3 linked regions of the Xenopus tropicalis genome follow. The protein of the gene in region 3 purifies or fractionates together with the protein of the main gene of each other region. This does not show direct contact. Links are inferred from orthologs where the notes say so. Each region holds a gene or a part of one and is shown on either strand. Other genes may lie near its edges. The genes, in order: mms19, pold3 and pold1.

Region 1 (3,654 bases), about 84 Mb from region 3:
AGAATAATGTCAGTCAAAAGGGGTGGTTACTAGTCCTTTCAGAATTCAGGGCACACATTTGTTTCTGCTCAACTCTCCATCACTGTCTCTGTCACTACTCAAATGGATCACTGTATTACAGACACTATATACTGCCCACTTTTATATCAGAGACTGCGGCACTGCAGCTAGCAACAACCATATCTTTACATTAAGAACAGTGGAAAAACTAAGACGACTACTGCAACATGGTTTCAATGGTGCATGTAATCAGAACCAGCAGTGCAGTAAATAGCAGAAAGCAACAGAAACAATGGCCATTACCATTAACAAATACCCTTATAATAACTTAAGTCCACTTAATGAATACTTAACAGATCATTTAAATTACATTTGCGTTATTTTGAAGTTTAGAATCCCTTTAACGTTAAAATACACAATTAAATGTATCCAGCCTACCTGGAATGGTTGGAAGTTGCTTGGTAAATTGTTTTCAGAAAAAAGTGAAACATCCCCATCAAGAAATAAGGCTACAACCTGGGAGACGCTTTTTGAGGCTAACCTGACAAAGGAAAATAAATAGCAGACAAGAATTGGGGGCTTTAATCCATGGCCCTCAGAAAGGCAATAAAACTAAGACTGGGGATATAGAAATGGTTCTTTATGTATAATATCAGCATCCACTATACTCACTCGGGTGTGAGATGGGTGCAGGCTGCAGTAATTACTGGCACCATTGCAGTGAGAACATCATCCCTCAGCAAAACATTGCAGGAAGTTCCGCTGTCTGAAAAAAGCAAAAGATATGATAAGGATACGAGATACAAACAACCTGAAGGTACAATAAAAACTATATTTAAGTTTTTAATTACCAAAATATATAGACAATATTTAACTCATGCTACACAGTTGTGTCCCTTATGGATACAGGTTATGATCACAGAGAGTGAGTATCCCTTATTGATACAGGTTCAGTAGGTGCAGGCTACTAGAATATGCAGTAAACTATTTATTATGCACACAGGACATTCCCCTATGTGGAAGTGGAAGCTGCTATATAGCTTGCCTTAACGGATGTAAACGTTTTCTGTAGGCAGCAACAGAAGCAGAATTTGTAGAAATCATCCCACAGATGCTCCACTCTAGTGCAACATTATGTAATTAACTAGAAGCTGCCGTACATAGGACCAGTCCAGCTTGTCCCTGCCTATCTAATCCATATAGTCTGAGTGGCTACTTATTGATCATTCACTTCTAGCATTTTCTTGATGACATTTCTTTTCCAAATTCCATGAATCTTACATAAGCTTGGACTGTGATACATCTTGAAATACACTTTTTACCTTAGCTGACTGATTTAAGTTCAGACCTGAAAGTGATCCAGAGGATAGAACAGTTTTCACATGGTCAGAATTGCCAAAAAAATCTTCAAAAATGTCCAACACAGCATGTAATTCTAACAAATAGCTTTTCTCCTCTTTAAAGGGCTTGTTCACCTTTCAAGTTTACTTTTAGTACGTTATAGAATGGCAAATTCTAAGCCACTTTTCAATTGGTCTTCATTATTTGTTTTTTTTTTATAGTTTCTGAATTATTTCCCTTCTTCTTACTCTTTCCAACTTTCAAACGGGGGTCACTGACCGCAGAAACCAAAAAAACTATTGGATCTGTGAGGCTACAATTTTAATTGTTACTTTTTTTATAACTTATTTTTCTATTCAGACCCTCTCCTATTCATCTTCCAGTCTCATTCAAACCACTGCTTAGTTTCTAAGGTACTTTAAACCCTAGCAACCAGATGTGAAATAATTAAAAAAAACATGAGACATGTACGCAAAACATTTTTACATGTAGAGAGGAGAAAAAATGGCATGTTAATGCAAACACAAAAATTTACCTTTTCTGATTTTTAAACAGTTAAATGTCGTACCTTGTGTTGCAGCTTGTACAGTTAATGACAGAAGGGAGGGTAACACAATTTCATGGTAAAACTGAAGAGCCTCGGAATCTAGTTGGCACTGTACAGCCACCCGATGAAGGCTCCTACATATAGACACCACATTTTCTGCATTTGTCTCCCCTTCTCCTAGACAGACAAATAAGATATATATTTCAAGCAGAATGAAAACCTGAACATTGCACTGTAAGAGATGTAACTGTGCAGCAGAAATACATCAGATTGTACAAGTTCTTGCAACGCTTGGGTGCACTCACATACCATTGTGCACCCTCCCTATATAGTCCAGTAGGATAGGAACAGTTTCTTTAAGAATACTCTGATGTGTGGATACAGCGGCTAATGCCTCTAGACATCGCTGCCTTATAAAACGCTCAGGGACCACTCTGCTTTCATTCAGATTAATATCCATTGGTTCTAAAATAAAAAAACAGAAGGGATTAAACTTGTTAACAAGCAGTGATTACAAGAAAATGACATCTATGGCTGCCTGTTGTGCAGTCTAGGCATTCTCTTTCATGATAATTAATTTCTATTAAAAATACATTTTAGTAGAAAATACTTATTTGTAACACAACAATTGAAGGCAGATATAAGGTCAAGGCTGCATGGGTGACTGTCACATGAAGAAGGAATCTCAGATGTCACTTGTTCCTGCAGTGGAGGATTAGGGAGCTCTCAGAAAATGTCACGGACAGGACCAAGGTAATAGGAAGCTGCACAATAGCTTAAGGTGCATCTTGTCACTTATTTACAGTGCTGTACTGTGACTGAGGAGAACCCCAGTGTTCACAAGCAGTGACGTTCACTTGGATTGCACAACCAATGGGAATGACTTTGGTTCTAATCTGGCCCAAGCCTCAAGAAACAACAAGAGCAAGAAGAATTCTTTACCTGTTTGCAAGTTTGCGCAGAGCTGTGGCAGCATCCTACTGATAAACACTGAGGGGTGAACTTTAGCCAGGGTTCCTGAAGCCTCAATGGCTGCCATACTGCAAAGATAAAAAAATAGTTAAAGAGGTACTATTCTTTAGTGCACTGAAGTAAAGGGAGGGAAGCTATACTTACATCTCATCATCCACTCAACATTTAATTATAGGGGATATTTACCTTTGGGTTAACTTTTAGTATGACGTAGAGAGTGAGATTCTGAGACAATTTTAACTTGGTCTTTATTTTTTATTATCTGTAGTTTTTTCAATTATTTAAATTTTTGTTCTGCAGCTCTACAGTTTAGCGGTTCAGCAGCTACCTGGTTGCTAAGTTTCAAATTACCTTAGCAACCAGGCAGTAGTTTGAATGAGAGGCTGGAACATGAATAAGAGAGGACATGAATAGAAAAATACAATATTAAAAGTAACAATAACAGTAAAATTGTAGCCTCACAGAGAAATAGTTTTTTGGCTAGAGGAAGAGGTAGAAGAAGGCGGCAAATAATAAATAAAGACCAATGCAAAAGTTGCTTACTGTAGAAATGGCCATTCTATAACATACTAAAAGTTACACCACCCCTTTAACTCAGACACTCATTTATCCAACAGCAAAATTGTTTTTATGCAAAGGAACGGTACATGAGTGCTGCTGATCTGTTTAGACATTCAGTGCTGGAAATTGTCAATTATTTTGCTACAGAGCATTTTCTTGCTCTTTACTGACTTTCTGTAATTCATAACTGAGGCTACAACAGTTGTAAACTTGTTTTGTCCAGTTGAGTCTAA
Region 2 (3,754 bases), on a different chromosome or scaffold from region 3:
AAAAAAATATGTATGCATTTTTGTAAATGGGGGGATATTCGCAGTGAGGCCCCAATGGGAAGCAAGGGGGGGGGGGCAGTACTCACTGTTTCGCCAGGTTAACATGGACGCCCAGCGTGTGGCTCAGCCATTTGTACGTCACCTGTAACGCAAGCAGAGAGAATGGCGTCAGTCGGGGCAAGTCAGTATGATACATAGCGATACAGATGGGCGGGGCTAGAGGGATAATGAGGCTGAAATACCGGCAGCCCATTGGCTCAGTAACACAACAGGGACTGCCTGGGTCTCACTGCATTTGTACTGACCCAACCCCTGAACCAGAGGTGACCAAAACTGGCCAAAAACCAGATTGGGGCCCTGTTCCAAATGCAACATTATAAGGGTCATGCAAGGAATTATGGGAAGACCCCATCGTTCCCATCTGGGTGGGGGGGGGGATGACCCCAGGGTCCCCATCTGGGTAGGGGGGGGATGACCCCAGGGTCCCCATCTGGGTAAGGGGGGGATGACCCCAGGGTCCCCATCTGGGTAAGGGGGGGATGACCCCAGGGTCCCCATCTGGGTAAGGGGGTGACCCCAGGGTGCCCATCTGGGTAGGGGGGGGGTGACCCCAGGGTGCCCATCTGGGTAGGGGGGGTGACCCCAGGGTGCCCATCTGGGTAGGGGGGGTGACCCCAGGGTGCCCATCTGGGTAGGGGGGGGGTGACCCCAGGGTGCCCATCTGGGTGGGGGGGGGGATGACCCCAGGGTGCCCATCTGGGTGGGGGGGGGGGATGACCCCAGGGTGCCCATCTGGGTGGGGGGGGGGGGGATGACCCCAGGGTGCCTATCTGGGTGGGGGGGGGATGACCCCAGGGTGCCTATCTGGGTGGGGGGGGGGGGATGACCCCAGGGTGCCTATCTGGGTGGGGGGGGGGGGATGACCCCAGGGTGCCTATCTGGGTGGGGGGGGATGACCCCAGGGTGCCATCTGGGTAGGGGGGGGGTGACCCCAGGGTCCCCATCTGGGTAAGGGGGGGATGACCCCAGGGTCCCCATCTGGGTAGGGGGGGATGACCCCAGGGTCCCCATCTGGGTAGGGGGGGATGACCCCAGGGTCCCCATCTGGGTAAGGGGGGGATGACCCCAGGGTGCCCATCTGGGTAAGGGGGGGGATGACCCCAGGGTCCCCATCTGGGTAAGGGGGGGATGACCCCAGGGTCCCCATCTGGGTAGGGGGGGGGTGACCCCAGGGTGCCCATCTGGGTAAGGGGGGGGATGACCCCAGGGTCCCCATCTGGGTAGGGGGGGATGACCCCAGGGTCCCCATCTGGGTAGGGGGGGGGTGACCCCAGGGTCCCCATCTGGGTAGGGGGGGGGGTGACCCCAGGGTCCCCATCTGGGTAAGGGGGGGATGACCCCAGGGTGCCCATCTGGGTAGGGGATGACCCCAGGGTGCCTATATGGGTGGTGGGGGGGGGGGATGACCCCTGGGTGCCTATCTGGGTGGGGGGGGATGACCCCAGGGTGCCTATCTGGGTGGGGGGGGGATGACCCCAGGGTGCCTATCTGGGTGGGGGGGGGATGACCCCAGGGTGCCTATCTGGGTAGGGGGGGGTGACCCCAGGGTCCCCATCTGGGTAGGGGGGGGGGATGACCCCAGGGTGCCCATCTGGGTAGGGGGGGGATGACCCCAGGGTGCCTATCTGGGTAGGGGTGACCCCAGGGTCCCCATCTGGGTAGGGGGGGGGGGATGACCCCAGGGTGCCCATCTGGGTAGGGGGGGGGGATGACCCAGGGTGCCTATCTGGGTAGGGGGGGGGTGACCCCAGGGTGCCCATCTGGGTAGGGGGGGATGACCCCAGGGTGCCCATCTGGGTAGGGGGGGATGACCCCAGGGTGCCTATCTGGGTAGGGGGGGGTGACCCCAGGGTGCCCATCTGGGTAGGGGGGGTGACCCCAGGGTGCCCATCTGGGTAGGGGGGGGATGACCCCAGGGTGCCCATCTGGGTAGGGGGGCCCGGGGGGGGGGGGATGACCCCAGGGTGCCCATCTGGGTAGGGGGGGGGATGACCCCAGGGTGCCCATCTGGGTGGGGTGGGGGGGGGGATGACCCCAGGGTGCACATCTGGGTGGGTGGGGGGGGGATGACCCCAGGGTGCACATCTGGGTGGGTGGGGGGGGGATGACCCCAGGGTGCACATCTGGGTGGGTGGGGGGGGGATGACCCCAGGGTGCACATCTGGGTGGGTGGGGGGGGATGACCCCAGGGTGCCCATCTGGGTAAGGGGGAATAAACCACCAAATTGCCCATGCCAGGGAGAAGCGGCCCGGGTATTATTATAAGAAGGGACGGCAGGTTCCATTCAGAAGAGCCGGAGAGCCCCAGTTGCTCGGAACTCACGATCTTATTCTGATCAGCCACCAGCTCGTCGATATTCTCCAGGTACAGTTCGTCCATAGCTCCCGCCCGGGTCCGGCCCCAGGGAACCCGCAGCTACTCTCTATACTTGGCGCCTGACAACCGAGGCCAGCGGGAGCGGGGAGCGCAGGCGCAAAAGCACCAACATCATTGGCGGAGAGAAGACGCGGCTAAAGACGCTGCCCAATGAGAAGCGAGCTGCGCACACGTGGAACAGAAATAAACACGCCCCTTCCCTGTGCCAGTACTAGAGCAAGGCACGCCGGGAAGGTTAACTCTATATGTGCTGGAGGCAGGACCTCTGCAGGCTCTCTCTATAGGGCAGGCAGACTTTACCCTTACAGGCAGATACAAGGGGGAATCTGTAGGAAATGGAGTCACAGCTTGAACAGGCAAACCTGGGGTTTAAAGGGACCCTGCCCTCATATTTATGGGGCTGTTTGTCTCTAAATGACACTGTCACACAGAAACAATTCCCTCTGCCATTTAACCTTCTATTCTTGTACCAACAAATGTATTTGTAGCTGTAATATTGGTGTGTAGGCGCCATCTCAGTGCCTTGTGCCTGAGTCTGAGCTTTCAGCCAGCGCTACACATTAGAACTGCTTTCAGCTAACCTATTGTTTCTCCTACTCCCATGTAACTGGAGGAGTCCCAAGCCGGACTTGGATTTCTTACTATTGAGTGCTATTCTGATACCTACTGGGAGCTGCTATCTTGCTCCCTTCCCATTGTTCTGCTGATTGGCTGCTGGGGGTGAGGGGGGGGGATATCACTCCAACTTGCAGCGCAGCAGTAAAGTGTGCCTGAGTCTGAGCTTTCAGCCAGCGCTACTCATTAGAACTGCTTTCAGCTAACCTATTGTTTCTCCTACTCCCATGTAACTGGAGGAGTCCCAAGCCGGACTTGGATTTCTTACTATTGAGTGCTATTCTGATACCTACTGGGAGCTGCTATCTTGCTCCCTTCCCATTGTTCTGCTGATTGGCTGCTGGGGGTGAGGGGGGGGATATCACTCCAACTTGCAGCGCAGCAGTAAAGTGTGCCTGAGTCTGAGCTTTCAGCCAGCGCTACTCATTAGAACTGCTTTCAGCTAACCTATTGTTTCTCCTACTCCCATGTAACTGGAGGAGTCCCAAGCCGGACTTGGATTTCTTACTATTGAGTGCTATTCTGATACCTACTGGGAGCTGCTATCTTGCTCCCTTCCCATTGTTCTGCTGATCGGCTGCTGGGGGTGATGTTTTCCCATGTCAGTGTTCCTTTAATGTATGTGAACTGGAACAATTTTATCCCTATAGCCTACAGCAGCACTTGGTATCCATAGTACAGGTATGGGACCCGTTATCCAGA
Region 3 (3,654 bases):
TGCGGTCCGGATCCCCCAGGTCCCCCTCACTCCCTTGCTTCCTGTTTAGTTACACAACTGATAGATGAAGCCATAGAGTTTGTCTCGTTAGAGCAGTGTCCTAAAAACACAGAAAACATTTGAAGGCAAATAGAAACCTCCATGTTATTCCATAGTAGAAATGTTATGGCTGCCAAATCACGTATAATAAACTTATAATATAATATCTTGATCCTATCTTGTTTTGTGCCAGAATGGCAACGAGCAGACCCGCAGGCGACTGGCAGTTTACTGCCTGAAGGATGCCTACTTGCCCCTTCGGCTCATGGAGAAACTTATGTGCGTCATCAACTACATGGAAATGGCGCGCGTGACTGGCGTTCCTCTCAGCTACCTGCTGTCTCGCGGCCAGCAGATTAAAGTGGTGTCTCAGCTTCTAAGACAGGTTCGAGCTTTTCATTACACTTTAAGAATCACCCTATGATTGTCTGTAGTTTTCAGTAATGGGTTTGGGGGCTATTAGAACATGTTAAAAATTATCAATTTGTTACAGCAGCATAACCCCCAAAATGAACAATTATCCTGTTATTGTGTCAGTTGCAGGGAGCTGGTTTATGCCACCATATATACATCATTTCTTTTGAAACTCATGTATGCACTTCTGATAATACTTTACTCTTATTAAATCCTGTAACTAGCTCCACCCCTGCTTTTACTAAAGAGGTCACCGGCCGAGCATAAATACGCCAGAGAAAACACACGCACATGATAAAAAGCAATTTACATGCAAAATGTAGCCGGACTGATCAACAATTCGCTACATAATTACGTCACCAGCATACAAGCCACAAATACTTATATGCGCAATACATCTTGCAAGAGTTGGACCGCCATATTGAAAATACGCTGTGTATTTCAGTGAAGTGTATTTCCAAACATGTTGATCCCATAGAGTTCAAGGGTATGGCATTTCCTCGACGTATAGGTGTTTCTGCCTATAGGCAAGCACTGCCGTTCTGTTGTAAATATCTGCTTGCAAAGGCCCTGTAGGAATTGCTATAGTGCATATAACATTATTCTCAACAGGGCTTTATTTTGTGCGCATTAACGTACAAATCCACATTTTTAAAAAACGTCCCATGTGACTTCGCCCTAAGTATACACTGGCTGCAGCTCCAGAAACTGTAAACTCATGTAACTTTGCCGAGCACACTTGCAGTTTACATTATTTTTTTTTGTTTTCTAGATATTGTGAGTTGTCGCCCTGCTACTTTATTGAATTTTAAGCAACAGTGCCACCTGCAGTTCATAACTGGCAAATTGTTGAGGGGATGTGGTAGACCTTGAAAAGGACAATGTGAAGTTTAATTTTTGTATTTTGTGTATTTAGAATGACTTTAGTGTTCCTGCCAATTATCAAACTCTTTTTATTTGCTGATTTTTTTTTCAATTTGATTTCATTTTGGGATACTTTAGGCCATGAAACAAGACCTGGTGATGCCCGTGGTCAAGTCAGAGGGAGGTGAAGATTACACTGGGGCTACAGTCATTGAACCCCTGAAAGGGTAAGAACGTTATACAATGTGTCACTTTCACCAGATGGGGGGGCACAGCCGTATGGATACTGAGTCACATTATATTGGCAGCTTCTTTATTAGCACTGCTTTATAGAGCTGCTTATCAGAGTACACACTGCAGAAATGCTGACATCAAAGAGATACTCCTTATTTAAAAAATTTTTATAACATACTGCATATATTTTTATATGCTGGATAGCTGCGGCTGGGAGACACTTTTTGAGTATTTTGAATTAAAGGGGAACTCCAGATACTGAACCAAAATTAGATAGCCCCACACAGCACACAAACCCCTAATATCCCTATCACTGTAATCTGTTCCTTCAAAAAGTAGGAATAAATACCATTTTTATATGCTGAAATCCAGCTGCAAAACAATTCTTCTCTTTCTGCATCATTTGAAACACTGGTGGAGGAGGGAAAAAAACACTGATGTTACAAATTGTAACAACTTCTCCACAGCTTGCACACAACATGCAGGAACTACATAACCCACAATGCATTGCACTGTGCTGTTCATTTCCTTATTGACATCAGGTGTGCAGGGAATTGTGGGATTTGGATTTTATTTGAGTTTGCCATAGGATCCACTAAATACATGCCTATGATTTAACTGCAGGTATTATGATGTGCCAATTGCCACTCTTGATTTCTCGTCTCTGTATCCATCTATTATGATGGCCCATAATCTCTGCTACACCACTCTGTTGCAGTCTGGATCCATAGATAAATACGGGTAAGTGTTCTGCTGTCCGTTCCACGTATCAGAGATTTAGTGCTTCACAGATACCTGATTGTACACAGCTTAATATAGATGGGCAATGTATATTCAGCATTGTATGCATATGACAATCTTGACTGCATCTGCAGCTTACTGGCCCATGTATGTGGCCACAACCATTTCCTTTTTGATCAATATCTGATTTGGGGTTTGGTCCGATGTTAGTTGGGAAGGCTGGGAAATCCCATGCGGTGACCCTCATGTCATTACTCTTTGCAGACAAGCAGTTGTTAGCTTGTACAGCCAGGATTGCCCAAACACCTTGTAATCTTGCTTAAAAGTTGTTCCTGGAACCCAAAGACTCCAATTTACAGAGTAATAATCCAGAGCTGTTCTTGTTGAATCTCTGCAACACCTCTGTTTTAACCCTTTGTGTCCTCTGTAACTATCCAGCCTCAGTCCTGAAGATTTTATCAAGACCCCAACTGGTGATTGTTTTGTTAAGGCGAGTATAAGGAAAGGACTGCTTCCTGAAATTCTGGAAAACTTGTTATGTGCCCGAAAACGGTGAGTAAATCAAGATTTATGGGTCTTTGGTAGTGAGGTCGATAATTTCCTGAACCTCCCCTTCTCAACTCAGGCCCAACCCAGCCAAAGGTGGTGAGGACACCTAATGTATCAAGCCCTCTTAACTATATGAAGACAATGGGCCTATTTGTCAGCTCATACTTGCCCAACCCACTTGTATCACTAGTATCACTGCACTCACAGCAACAGTGCTTCCTTTTGAGCACACTGCTACTGCCCCTTTAAACACAGTTATACCCCCATTGACATGTGCAGTATATAGGTTAAAGCTTTTCTATCTTGGTAAAAGATAAACTATAAGACATGGCCTTATGCTGATTTTTACTTGGCACTGGCGAGCTGCATCATTTGGATACTTGGATCTATTACCAGACACAGCAGCAAATACATCACTTAGTTTACGCTCATATACAGTGTTTGTCACACTCATTCAACATGCCCCATGCAGTCTGCAAAGGGCAAAGGCTGCATTCGCCCCTTTTTTTTGCACTTACAACTTTCAATACCAAAATTCCAAACTGAATCCTGGATGCAATTTGTGACTGATGTATGTATATGTGTGTGTGTATCTATATAATATACACACATACAGTAGGCATGAATTGCATCCAGGTTTCACTTTGGAATTTGGTATTGAAAGTTGTTCTGACTCATATAGTGAGACACACTATATTATATTGCCTATTTCTTCAGTAACTATCCTGTACATTGGAATTTAGAGATTGCTGGGAGTTGTATCTCAGAACTAGATGGAGACCATTGCTGAATTCACATCTTTATGTTTTAGGG

What was found.
Region 1: the proteins of pold1 (region 3) and mms19 purify together in Homo sapiens (affinity purification with western blotting; 3 studies listed by BioGRID and IntAct, with this or other methods). This does not show direct contact. The link is inferred for Xenopus tropicalis from reciprocal best matches to the Homo sapiens genes POLD1 and MMS19.
Region 2: the proteins of pold1 (region 3) and pold3 purify together in Homo sapiens (co-immunoprecipitation; 8 studies listed by BioGRID and IntAct, with this or other methods). This does not show direct contact. The link is inferred for Xenopus tropicalis from reciprocal best matches to the Homo sapiens genes POLD1 and POLD3.

What each region holds. Positions count from the first base shown.
Region 1 is NC_030683.2:33,016,958-33,020,611, forward strand, and holds part of mms19 (MMS19 nucleotide excision repair protein homolog), read right to left. Parts: intron 2,929-3,654; coding exon 2,831-2,928; intron 2,354-2,830; coding exon 2,198-2,353; intron 2,066-2,197; coding exon 1,910-2,065; intron 767-1,909; coding exon 673-766; intron 542-672; coding exon 439-541; intron 1-438. UniProt on the Homo sapiens protein: Key component of the cytosolic iron-sulfur protein assembly (CIA) complex, a multiprotein complex that mediates the incorporation of iron-sulfur cluster into apoproteins specifically involved in DNA metabolism and genomic integrity.
Region 2 is NC_030678.2:174,997,591-175,001,344, reverse strand, and holds the start of pold3 (DNA polymerase delta subunit 3), read right to left. Parts: upstream 2,504-3,754; 5' UTR 2,441-2,503; coding exon 2,384-2,440; intron 143-2,383; coding exon 87-142; intron 1-86. UniProt on the Homo sapiens protein: Accessory component of both the DNA polymerase delta complex and the DNA polymerase zeta complex.
Region 3 is NC_030683.2:117,272,794-117,276,447, reverse strand, and holds part of pold1 (DNA polymerase delta catalytic subunit), read left to right. Parts: intron 1-232; coding exon 233-424; intron 425-1,455; coding exon 1,456-1,544; intron 1,545-2,175; coding exon 2,176-2,292; intron 2,293-2,730; coding exon 2,731-2,844; intron 2,845-3,652; coding exon 3,653-3,654. UniProt on the Homo sapiens protein: As the catalytic component of the trimeric (Pol-delta3 complex) and tetrameric DNA polymerase delta complexes (Pol-delta4 complex), plays a crucial role in high fidelity genome replication, including in lagging strand synthesis, and repair.